Danio rerio: one gene and its partner. The protein of the gene in region 1 interacts with the protein of each later gene in a pairwise test. Links are inferred from orthologs where the notes say so. Each region holds a gene or a part of one and is shown on either strand. Other genes may lie near its edges.

The links.
Region 2: the proteins of stk11 (region 1) and tnip2 interact in binary tests that used the Homo sapiens proteins (3 or more experiments, as listed by UniProt). The link is inferred for Danio rerio from reciprocal best matches to the Homo sapiens genes STK11 and TNIP2.

The regions. Positions count from the first base shown.
Region 1 is NC_133177.1:63,067,995-63,073,140, forward strand, and holds the start of stk11 (serine/threonine-protein kinase STK11), read left to right. Parts: upstream 1-1,858; 5' UTR 1,859-2,017; intron 2,018-5,146. UniProt on the Homo sapiens protein: Tumor suppressor serine/threonine-protein kinase that controls the activity of AMP-activated protein kinase (AMPK) family members, thereby playing a role in various processes such as cell metabolism, cell polarity, apoptosis and DNA damage response.
Region 2 is NC_133176.1:40,470,692-40,476,008, forward strand, and holds the start of tnip2 (TNFAIP3-interacting protein 2), read right to left. Parts: upstream 3,609-5,317; 5' UTR 3,209-3,608; coding exon 2,888-3,208; intron 2,429-2,887; coding exon 2,135-2,428; intron 2,047-2,134; coding exon 1,957-2,046; intron 1,779-1,956; coding exon 1,500-1,778; intron 1,367-1,499; coding exon 1,250-1,366; intron 1-1,249. UniProt on the Homo sapiens protein: Inhibits NF-kappa-B activation by blocking the interaction of RIPK1 with its downstream effector NEMO/IKBKG.

The DNA of each region.
Region 1 (5,146 bases):
TTGAAATTTACAAACTGTAAAAAAAGAAACACAACTATTGTTTTAAGTCCAAATTATTTACATTTGCTAAACGCCAGAATGAGAGAATTTTTACATAATTTCTAGACACACATTTACACACATTTCCTTGGTATTTCTTTAGCTTTGCGTTTAAACTGTATAACTAAAATCAGATGTTTTGGCTCTCCTTCCTTAAGCTTCTCACAATAGTTTGCAGGAGTTTTGGCCCATTCCTCCTGCAGAATTGCTGTAACTGAGTCAGATTTGTAGGCTGTCTTGCTCGCACAAGCTTTTTCAGCTCCGCCCACACATTCTCTATAGGATTGAGATCAGGGCTTTGTGATGGCCACTGCAAAACATTCACTCTGTTGTCCTTAAAGCACATGTTAACTCATTTGGCAGTGTGCTTAGGGTCATGGTCTGTCTGGAAGAGCCATTTGTGGCTGAGTTGTAATGTCCTGGCTGATGTGTTGAGATGTTGCTTCAGTATTTCTCCATGATGTTCTGTCTTCATGATGCCATCTATGCTGTGAAGTGGACCAGTCCCTCCTGCAGCAGAACAGCCCCACAACATGATGCTGCCGCCCCCATACTGCACAGTTGGGATGGTGTTCTAGGCTTGTGTGTTTCCCCTTTGTCCTCCAGATGTAACACTGCTCATTATGGCCAAACAGTTCAATCTTAGCTCCATCAGAGCACAGGACATGTCTCCACACATTAGTCTGTTCCCAGTGTCATTCAGCTAATGGAAATCTGGCTTTGTTGTTGATTGTGGCTTGTTGATTTTCTCATGTTGTCACAGAAGGAAGCAGTGTGTTTGAGCTTTTCCTTCAACACTATTCTACAGTTGTGCCTCACATTAACTCAAATGTTGTCAATTAGCCAATCAGAAACTTCCAAAACCCTGACATCATCATCTGAGCTTTTCCAGAGGCAGAATAATCTGATTGTGTGTAAACTTGACTTTCAACAAGAGTTAGAACAATTCCTCAACATATATCTCTAATTATTCTGCTATCAAGCAGAACAGAAACACATGTGATCATCCTCACTTACCTAAAAGAGAAAAAGTTTAGTCACATTAACATCTGACTTTTTTTAAATGGTCATTTGCCCTTTTATACAGTGTATGTAAACTTCTGCTTTCAGCTATATATTTAAAACTATAACATTTCTACAAATAAATCAATAAATAAACATCAACTCAACTCATTTTGCCATTTAAAATACTGCATTAACAAATACTCGTTAGTGTGCTAACAAGAATATTGCAATTTATACAGCCTGTACAGATTATTTAATACAGCACAAATACAGATTATTTATTAAAATATTTAAAAAGTGTAAGAATTACAAAATTCACTCTTACTGTATTTGCCACTTTTATATAATAATAATATAATAATAATAATAATAACATGTAATATATTTAATATTTATTCCTCGTATGCAAGTATTTAGCCTGACAATAACCAGATAATAGACAATAAATCCATAATAAAGGTGTAAATTACCAAGAATTATATAAGAATGCCATTTAGATTCGCCGTAAATCCCCTCTGATGTGCTCCAGCACACCACACATAATAATAATCTTTGATAAACATATTTGGATATTTTTGATTATGGTCATATTCCCAGTACTGGGTTGCAGCTGGAAGGGCATCCGCTACGTTAAACATATTCTGGATGAGTTGGTGGTTCATTCCACAGTGGCGACGCCAGACTTATAAAGGGACTAAGCCGAAAAGAAAATAAATAAATGAATGGATATGATCATCTTCAAGTTGGAACTTTCCTGCGCGCGTTTCCGTCTGGAGGCCTCGAGCGCGTTCACGGATGTGCGCATGCGTACTGCAGCGAGGGGAGGGAGGTAAACAAGATGGCGGCAGCCTTGAAGCAGCAGCAGCTGTGAAGAACAGAAGCGAGAAAACAGAGGAATAAAGAGCGAAAAAGAAGGAGAAGAACGACTGTGTGTCCGTCAGTGAGCCGAGCGGAGGAGGCCAGCGTCAGGTCAGTGTGTGTGCGCGTGTCTCTGTCTGTGTCCGTGTGTGTGTGTATGTGTGCATTAGCCGCCGCTAACCGCCGCCGACAAACACTTTCCTTCCATCGACACAAACACTCATACACACAAACACACACGCATATCTACATGTATACATACGCACACACATCGCGGCTGATCGATGATCCGCAGTTGATGGTCAGGTGATCAGATCAATAATCAATCAATTAATCAATCAGCTCATCTGATCTCCGGTTCTCCTCAGTTCTCGACCGTTTGATAGAGATCTGTGTTTGTGTATTCTGTGTGTGTCGTTGTGTTGTGTTTTCTCTCAGTGTGTGTTCTATTTTCTTGTGTGTAGTTTGTGTTAGTGTGTGTGTGTGAGATTGTAAAATCCTCTTTTGCAGTCTTTTATTGATATCCAGACTCATTAGACTGATCTTCATTCCTGTGTCGCTTCTATATCTCAGTCTAGATCGTATTAAAACATTGAAGAGAACTAAAATAAAGAATAAAGGAGCTGTAATATTTAAAATGGAACTAAAGTTTGTTTAATATTAGCACGTTTGTTCAGTGACTAGTTGTGACACGCTCCCTATATTGTTTACCATGATGCTTTGAATATTGGGTCTGAAATCAGACATAATTATGACCTCAAATCAACATTAGCACTATTTAACTGACTGTCAGCAATCTTGTTTTTCATCAGCTGAAAATGTGATTGTCCTTTTTTAGGATTTGCAAAGAAAACTTTTCTGAGATTATATTATTAAGGAGAAAGTCCAGAAGTGTGAAACTAACTTTCCCCCAGTATATTTAAATGCTGGAACTTATGAAGAGCTCATGCAAAATACAAATGTAATTTTGATCATTATTTTCAATCTCAATCAACAATTTTATATCTCAATGAAAAGCTTATGCAAATATGTTATACAAGCAATGTGTGACTGCTGGAGTCTCGGCTGGGTCAGTTGGTGTTTCTGTGTGGAGTTTGCATGTTCTCCATGTGTTGGAGTGGGTTTGCTCTGGTTTCCCCCACAGTCCAAACACATGCGCTATAGGGGAACTGATCAACTAAATTGGCCGTAGTGTATGAGTTTTTGTGTGTGTGAATGAGTGGGTCTGGGTGTTTCCCAGTACTGGGGTTTTTTACTGGTAATTTAAATTTAATTTGTTTGCACAAGAACAAAATAAGTAAATACAACAAATAAAAGTGCAATCCACACTGTGACAAGCCAAAAACATATTCAAAATGCTGTACAGTTGAAGCTAGAATTATTCGGCCAACCTTGGATTTGGAAATGGAAATATTTCACAAATTATGTTGAACAGATTGAGGAAATGTTCACAGTATGTCTGATAATATTTGTTCTTCTGGAGAAAGTGTGATTTGTTTTATTTCGGCTAGAATAAAAGCAGTTTTTAATTTTTTTAAAAACATTTTAAGGTCAATATTATTAGCCCCTTTAAGCTATTTATTTTGTTTCGAACAAACCGTCATTATACAATGACTTGCCTAATTACCCTAACTTTACCCTAATTACCCTAGTGAAGCCTTTACATGTCACTTTAAGCTGTATAGAAGTGTCTTGAAGAATATCTAGTCTAATATTATTTACTGTCATCATGACAAAGAGAAAATAAATCAGTTATTAGAGATGAGTTATTAACACTATTATGATTAGAAATGTGCTGAAAAAAATCTGCTCTCTGTTAAACAGAAATTAGGTAAAAAATAAAAAGGGGGCGAATAATTCTGAATTCAACTGTATGTGTTTGACTCTTCTAAAGCATAGAAATACCATAGTATGTTTGCAGATATTTAAGAAACATGCTAAATGAGCATGTTTTTCAGAGAAATAATTCAGCAGTCAGTTCTTCTGCTTTGAGAATGTGCTTTCAGTGTCAGAATATCTGTCTTTGCTTTCTCTGTAACTCTGCCCCACAGCCAGTTTTACAAGTTATATTTCAGCACTCCGGGTTGCCAGATGGTGGAAAAGTGTGCATTTCATTCATGAAGGCTGTCAATGTATCTGTGGGGGTCAGTCTTGCTTGCTGTTCCTTTTAAAGCTGCCTATTCTAAAGAAAGCAAAACAACTACAAAGCAAGAAAAAAAAAAAAAAAAAAAAAATATATATATATATATATATATATATATATATATATATATATATATATATATATATATATATATATATATATATATATATATATATATATATATATATATATGGGTGACACGGTGGCTCAGTGGTTAGCACTGTGGCCACACAGCAAGCCCGGCTGGGTCAGTTGGTGTTTCTGTGTGGAGTTTGCATGGTCTCTCCAGGTTGGCGTGGATCTGCTGTGTAAAACATGTGCTGGAATAGTTGGCGGTTCATTCTGCTGTGGCGAGTCCTAATTAATTAGGGACTAGGCATGGGACAATAACCGGTTTTAAGGTTTACCGCGGTTTTAAAAATTCAAGGTATAAAGCCGCTAAAACATTGTGTTATATCAGTCCTAAGGTATTTGTAGGTTTTGTTTTTCATGACTTTTATTGAGTTTTTTTAGGGCAACAGTAGAAAAGTAGCATCCACACCACAAGTTACTGGTCAGTATATGATTCAGTAAGCATCTAAAACACAAATCTCTTTTAAACCAACATCCAGCATGCTGAAGAGCTGAACAGTGCAGCGGCTTAAGCCTAGTTCACACTAGAGGATTTTAAGCCTGATTTGAGCCCGATTTGGAAGTTAACGAGCTCGCCGACAGATCGGGCTGTGATCGGGAAGAAATCTGCGGGTGCTCGGCGCTCGCCGCTCTTTATGTGTGAACTACTGAACAACGCATCAACGAGGCTCGCTGACGCGTCGCCGACACCTCGCCGACACCTCGCAGACGGAAATCCAACATTCAGCATGCTGAATATTCCAGAGCAGTCGGCCGACTCAACCCCACGTGTGGTTAGATGTAGTGACGAGCTGCAGCCAATGAGAGAGCAGATCAGCATGAGCAGAATGCCTGTGTGTTCAGGAGCTCAGCAGAAACATCTGTGATTGGTCAGAATGGGCATCGGTGCACTCGCTTCATTCTGCGTTAGCACAGACATGAGAGGAGGATATATTAACAGTGGAACTAGAATTCTGTAACTATTAGAAT
Region 2 (5,317 bases), on another chromosome or scaffold:
AATACTTTTAATATCTGAGCTCATTCCAATCAAATGTTTTCGTTCTATCCTTTTTGACAAACAACAGTCCATTTCTCAGTGTATGTGTTTTTAACATATTGTAATGTGGTATAGCTGAACAACTAAACTGTAATTTTTATATTATCTTAACTTTCTATTTATTATTATTACTATTATTGTTGTTGTTATTATTATTTTTTATTCATAAGTCGTGTTGTGGACCTAAGATTTTAATCTCAATGGGTTTTTATCCGGTTAAATAAAGAAACATACTTTTAAATTTTAATATAAAGTATCCTTGCTAAGTAAAGGTAACAAATAAAAAAATACTGACTGTCACTGCTTTTAAGTAGTATAATGTGTATGATGTCAAAAGCTTTTGAATTTAGGTAAAATGATTGATTTTGTTTGACGTTCTCTTCATCAATTAATTATGAATATCATCATTAAACTGTGATTAAATATTAAAATTATTAATGAAAGTCATGTTTTGACTGATTTTGCTGTACTTTTGAACAAATAAATGCAGGTTTGGTGAGCAGAAGTGTGTTCTTTTAAAAAAATAAGAAGATAATTTAAATTCTTACTAAATTCACTAATTGAAAACTTGTCAAATGGGCGAAACCTAGTGGTTTAAGGGATAGCAGCAAAGATTCAGACAATATGTTAAAATGACAAATTAAATAGTTTTAATTTGATTGATTTATTTTTATTTTTTTAATAAAATTATTTGGGATTACGCTGACATTTTATTGTCTTTGGTAAACACTTAATTGATCATTATTGTTTGTGTAAAATGGCATGCAGGGTTTTTCCTGCAAAGAGAATTGTGAGGTGGCCACCTCCATAATTTTTTGCACCACCTCCAGCTTTTGACCAATCAGGCATGCAGTCACGGCAACCAACAGACCCCAAGTGATGCTCAAGCATTGGTCATTTATTTAGTTGCATATAATATCTGCCTTTTTAAATATGAACATGTTTAACTTGAGTGGGTTACTAAAAAGAATGCAAAATGTGCTTGTTTCAAGTAGCAAACATTTCATCTTCCATCTTCGGCTTATTTTGTGCCAGAAAAAACCCTGTCGTGTTTGTTCAAATACAACTTATAAATGCTTATGTCCATTTATTTATTTTGTAACGCTAAATCAGAATGCTACAAATGATTTTATTGGGACTTTAAATGATACAATGCATATTTTAAAATTATTTTTAAATACCTTGATGAATAATTAATAATTAGACTTGCCTGTGAACGTATTTGCAGCTGAAGTCGCCCAACTTCATCTTGAAGGTCCATGATTTTACCCTGAGCCCTCTCTCGGTCTGCCCTTTCCGATTTAAAGTCTTCAACATAGGCCAGAACCTGTGAGTGTACAAGTAAGCCATTTGTGTTATGGGCAGCAAGCCAAACAACAAAACTACTTCTCACCTTTGTTATGACAAAAATACAACGACTTCCTATTTAATAGGATTGTACACACTGAACGGATACAGACCTGCTGCTCGAGCATCTGTATCTGCTCTTGGTCTCTTCTCGCATTGTCATCCCTCTCTCTACTGAATCTCTCACACTCCATCATCTTGTCCTGCAGGAGGCCGTTGAGTCTCACAATTTCCTGCTGGAACAAAGCCACGTGTCCCGCAGTCGGGGCTTGGGTTAGAGTCGGATCTGCGGAAGCCAGTCCATTTGACTCTTTCAACTTCTGACACAAACCCCTCACGTACTCTTCTCTACTCGAGTCATACTTCTGCCATTTTGAGTTTAAACTTTCCACCTGAAATGGAACAAAACAAGTTGTGATGTGAAAAAATTACATGACATTTTCCAAGAATTTTTTTACACTGTTGATTCTTTCCGTAACAGTTACAGTATGACATTTTCAGCATATGACACAGGTAAAACAAATGTCAGAGGGTGATGATCAAACAACAGTTCCATCATGTGATCCTTACATATGCCACTCTCTTCTTGAGCTGGTCGTTCTCCTCTTCTAACTTGCTAATGATGACATTTAGCTGGGGAACTTCGGGGGAATCTGATGTCTGATAAAATATAAGGTCAAATATAATCATTAGGCAGCTGTTTTAAAGGTGCCTTAAATGTTGCAGACTGACAGTTTCCACAACGCACCTCATGAACTTGAGTTCTCTGATCCGTCATGGCTGTTTTGTTTTTCTCGTTTTCCAGCCGTCCCAAAAGCTCCTGACACACCTGCACAGTGGCCCCCAACTGGGCCCTTAACTGATCGGCTTCTTCAGCAAGAGAGTTGCAAAGTACAGTCCTGGTGGCCTGTGTCCGATCTCTTTCGGCCAATGTGGTGCGCAGTTGCTGGATCTCCCTCTCTTTCTCCTGCTCTGGTCTTTCCCTGATGGTCAGCAACTCTTGATCCCTCTCCTTCAACTTTTCCTGCAATCTCTGGATCTCCTTAAACAAGCAGTCGGGAGATTCACAAATGAGAAGGTGAACACGAAATGCACTTGTTTCATCAAAACTAAAGCATATTCTGTATTCATGAACAAAGTTGTACATAAAAAGCCGGACTAACAGTACAAACAAGCAAGAAAAACAAAGCTTAAACTTAAGTTTTCTGGTCAGTTTTTCAAAGGCACTTAATGTTAGCTGACTTGAAGACCACCATAAACCAGCTAAGACCAGCAACACATTGTAAGCTGGTTTACATGTTTTGTTTTTGTGATATAACATTAATTTCATTACAATTTCTTGAGTTAGGAATTGGAGTATTTTATAGAGAGGATACTTTACAGTTCTTTTACAGTCATTGGAAAAGTATACTGACAAGAAAAACAACAAATTTACTCTAATTAGTAGAGAAAATGTTATTAATTATTTCATATTATTAATTCAGAATTGTGTTTAACTTACTTTGTCTCTGGTTTCCAATTTCTGGGCAGTGTCTTTCTCTAAATCCTTCAGTTTTTGCTTTAATTTGCAAATTTCCTTACACAAACTTTCGATGAGTGACTTCGATGGCCCTACAATATAAGGTTCCTCTCCCTCAATGACCACGGTTTTCTCATACTTCCCCAGTCTTGCCCTCAAATCGGCAATAATCCCGTCTTTGGAGGTCACCAACTGATTTAAACGAGCAATTTCTTGCTGTGTTTCGTGGTAAATTGTGTTGAGAGTAGAGCAGCTGCGCAACTTCGCCCTCAGCGCCTCGTTCTCCCTCTTCATCTCATCCATGCTGAGCAATCCGTTAAAACGAGCACATATAGTACAAATTTCCCATATATTGTACAGGTCTGAGTGTCATAGGGCTCACAGGCGTCTGCTGTAACTTATGTTAGACCAAAATGTTTCAGAGCAGTTTCAGTCTGCGAGAGCCTCACTCAATTTCGAAATTATGAACAGGGGATTTCCTCACGGGGACTTCCCCCCATCTCAAACTGGGTATATTTTTTGTACTGCACATAAAACGTCGAGAATAGTTGGGGTTACAGGCGCTGTTTTGCCTTCAAACGAGTTAACTGTCGAGTCGTGTGCGGTTTAATAGTGATTTTACACGTTTAAGAGACAGTCGACTCGCTCCTTCGTGTCGGATTAAGTTTACAGTTCAGTTTGACGCCGCCTGGTGCGCGTGGACGAGGATTGCGCGCGACCAGCATGCTACTTTATACTGTCAGTGACGCGCGTGGTGGTTAAACGTTTGCTTTTAGCTTCCTTGGTTATAACGATTAAGTTTGTCACGTCGCTCCCGAACACGGTACAACGAGCAGTTTAACACGCACAGTATTCTCAAGTAGCATCCGTGAAGGGAGTAGTCAGTTGAACTTGGACAGGTGACAAATCTTTACATATGGAAACGTAGGTAAAGTTCAAAATCGAAAGCAGGAGTCTATTCACACCATAGCTTATTATAAAAATATCCCACACTTTAAAGTATAACGTAGTCCAATATCAAAAATAAGATTAACCCTTTTACAAAACGGAATTCTTTAGCTAAAGAAAGCTGTAACATGTTGTTTCCTATTTAGCTCCATTGTTTTGTTTCCATTGGGAACCGAAACTGTTTACCTTTCTGTTAGTCTGTTTACCAGAGGCTTTCAGACACCACCACCATAGGACCCCCTCCTAAAATGTTAAAGATAATTCTTGTTCAAGACTAATAAATAATAAATAAATACATTAAATATATATCATTTCTACTCATCATTTTTGCCTGTGTAATTATTTAAATCAAATTAACTTTTAATAAAAAATATTTTGTATTTTTAATAAAAATATTTCTAAAAATGTTTAGTATAATCTAATCTAATATAATCTAAAAATATTTAGATTAATGTGAATCTTACCAAATAGTATTTTTAATTATTATTTTAAAAATGTTTTGAATATTTGGATGAAAATAACATAACACTGCCTAAAACTCCCCTTTCTTAAAAGATTCCATCTCATACCATTCCTCTTTTCATAATGGATAATGCCTGCCATTATCTTGGATCACATCTTGTCAATTGTCTAGACAATGAAAGCCAACGGTGCTTAGTTTGTGATCTGAAGATTGAACCATAAAACAGTCATTTTAATTACACAGTAATTAACAAACTTACAATGTCTAAACCCTCATTCTTAGTGCGAAGAATCTTTATCCCTCTGCCAAAAGCAGCACACATGAAACGGCAGAAAGTCCCGTTGAGCATGTAATGTTTGTGTGAGTTCATGATGTTCTGCCTAGGGAAAGTCCAAAACTGTTCTTTAAAGTTTGCCACCATCTTGTGGTATCAAAACAGCATTGACACGCATTTGACAGACGTGATATATTACTCATAAATATAAGTCAATCACGCACATGTATATAAATATAATTGTCACAATAAGAACACAGCTGAAGGTGCTTTTTCACACAACAGCCATTTCAGCTGTGTATACACATTTTTTATTGTTTAGGCATGCTTCTGCAGAGGTATGAAGTAAATCTGTGAAATTATAGGCAATGAAGTTGGTAATTACTCTTGGATCACATTAGGGCAACCCTTTCATTTGAGGATGGAATGTAGAAGTGCTTGCGTTTGCAACTTCTTGGCATTTAAGAACGGCTGGGAAAAACAAAAGGCAACCAATGGCTTATTTTTAATGACTTTATTTGAAAATGGTTAATACATATAAATAAATGACTACAAAATATATAAATAATAATAAAAAATACATCAAACAACTTCAGCTCCAAAGATATTCAATAATAAAAAAAATAATATAATAATATATATATATATATATATATATATATATATATATATATATATATATATATACACACACACACATACACACACACACACACAGTTGAAGTCA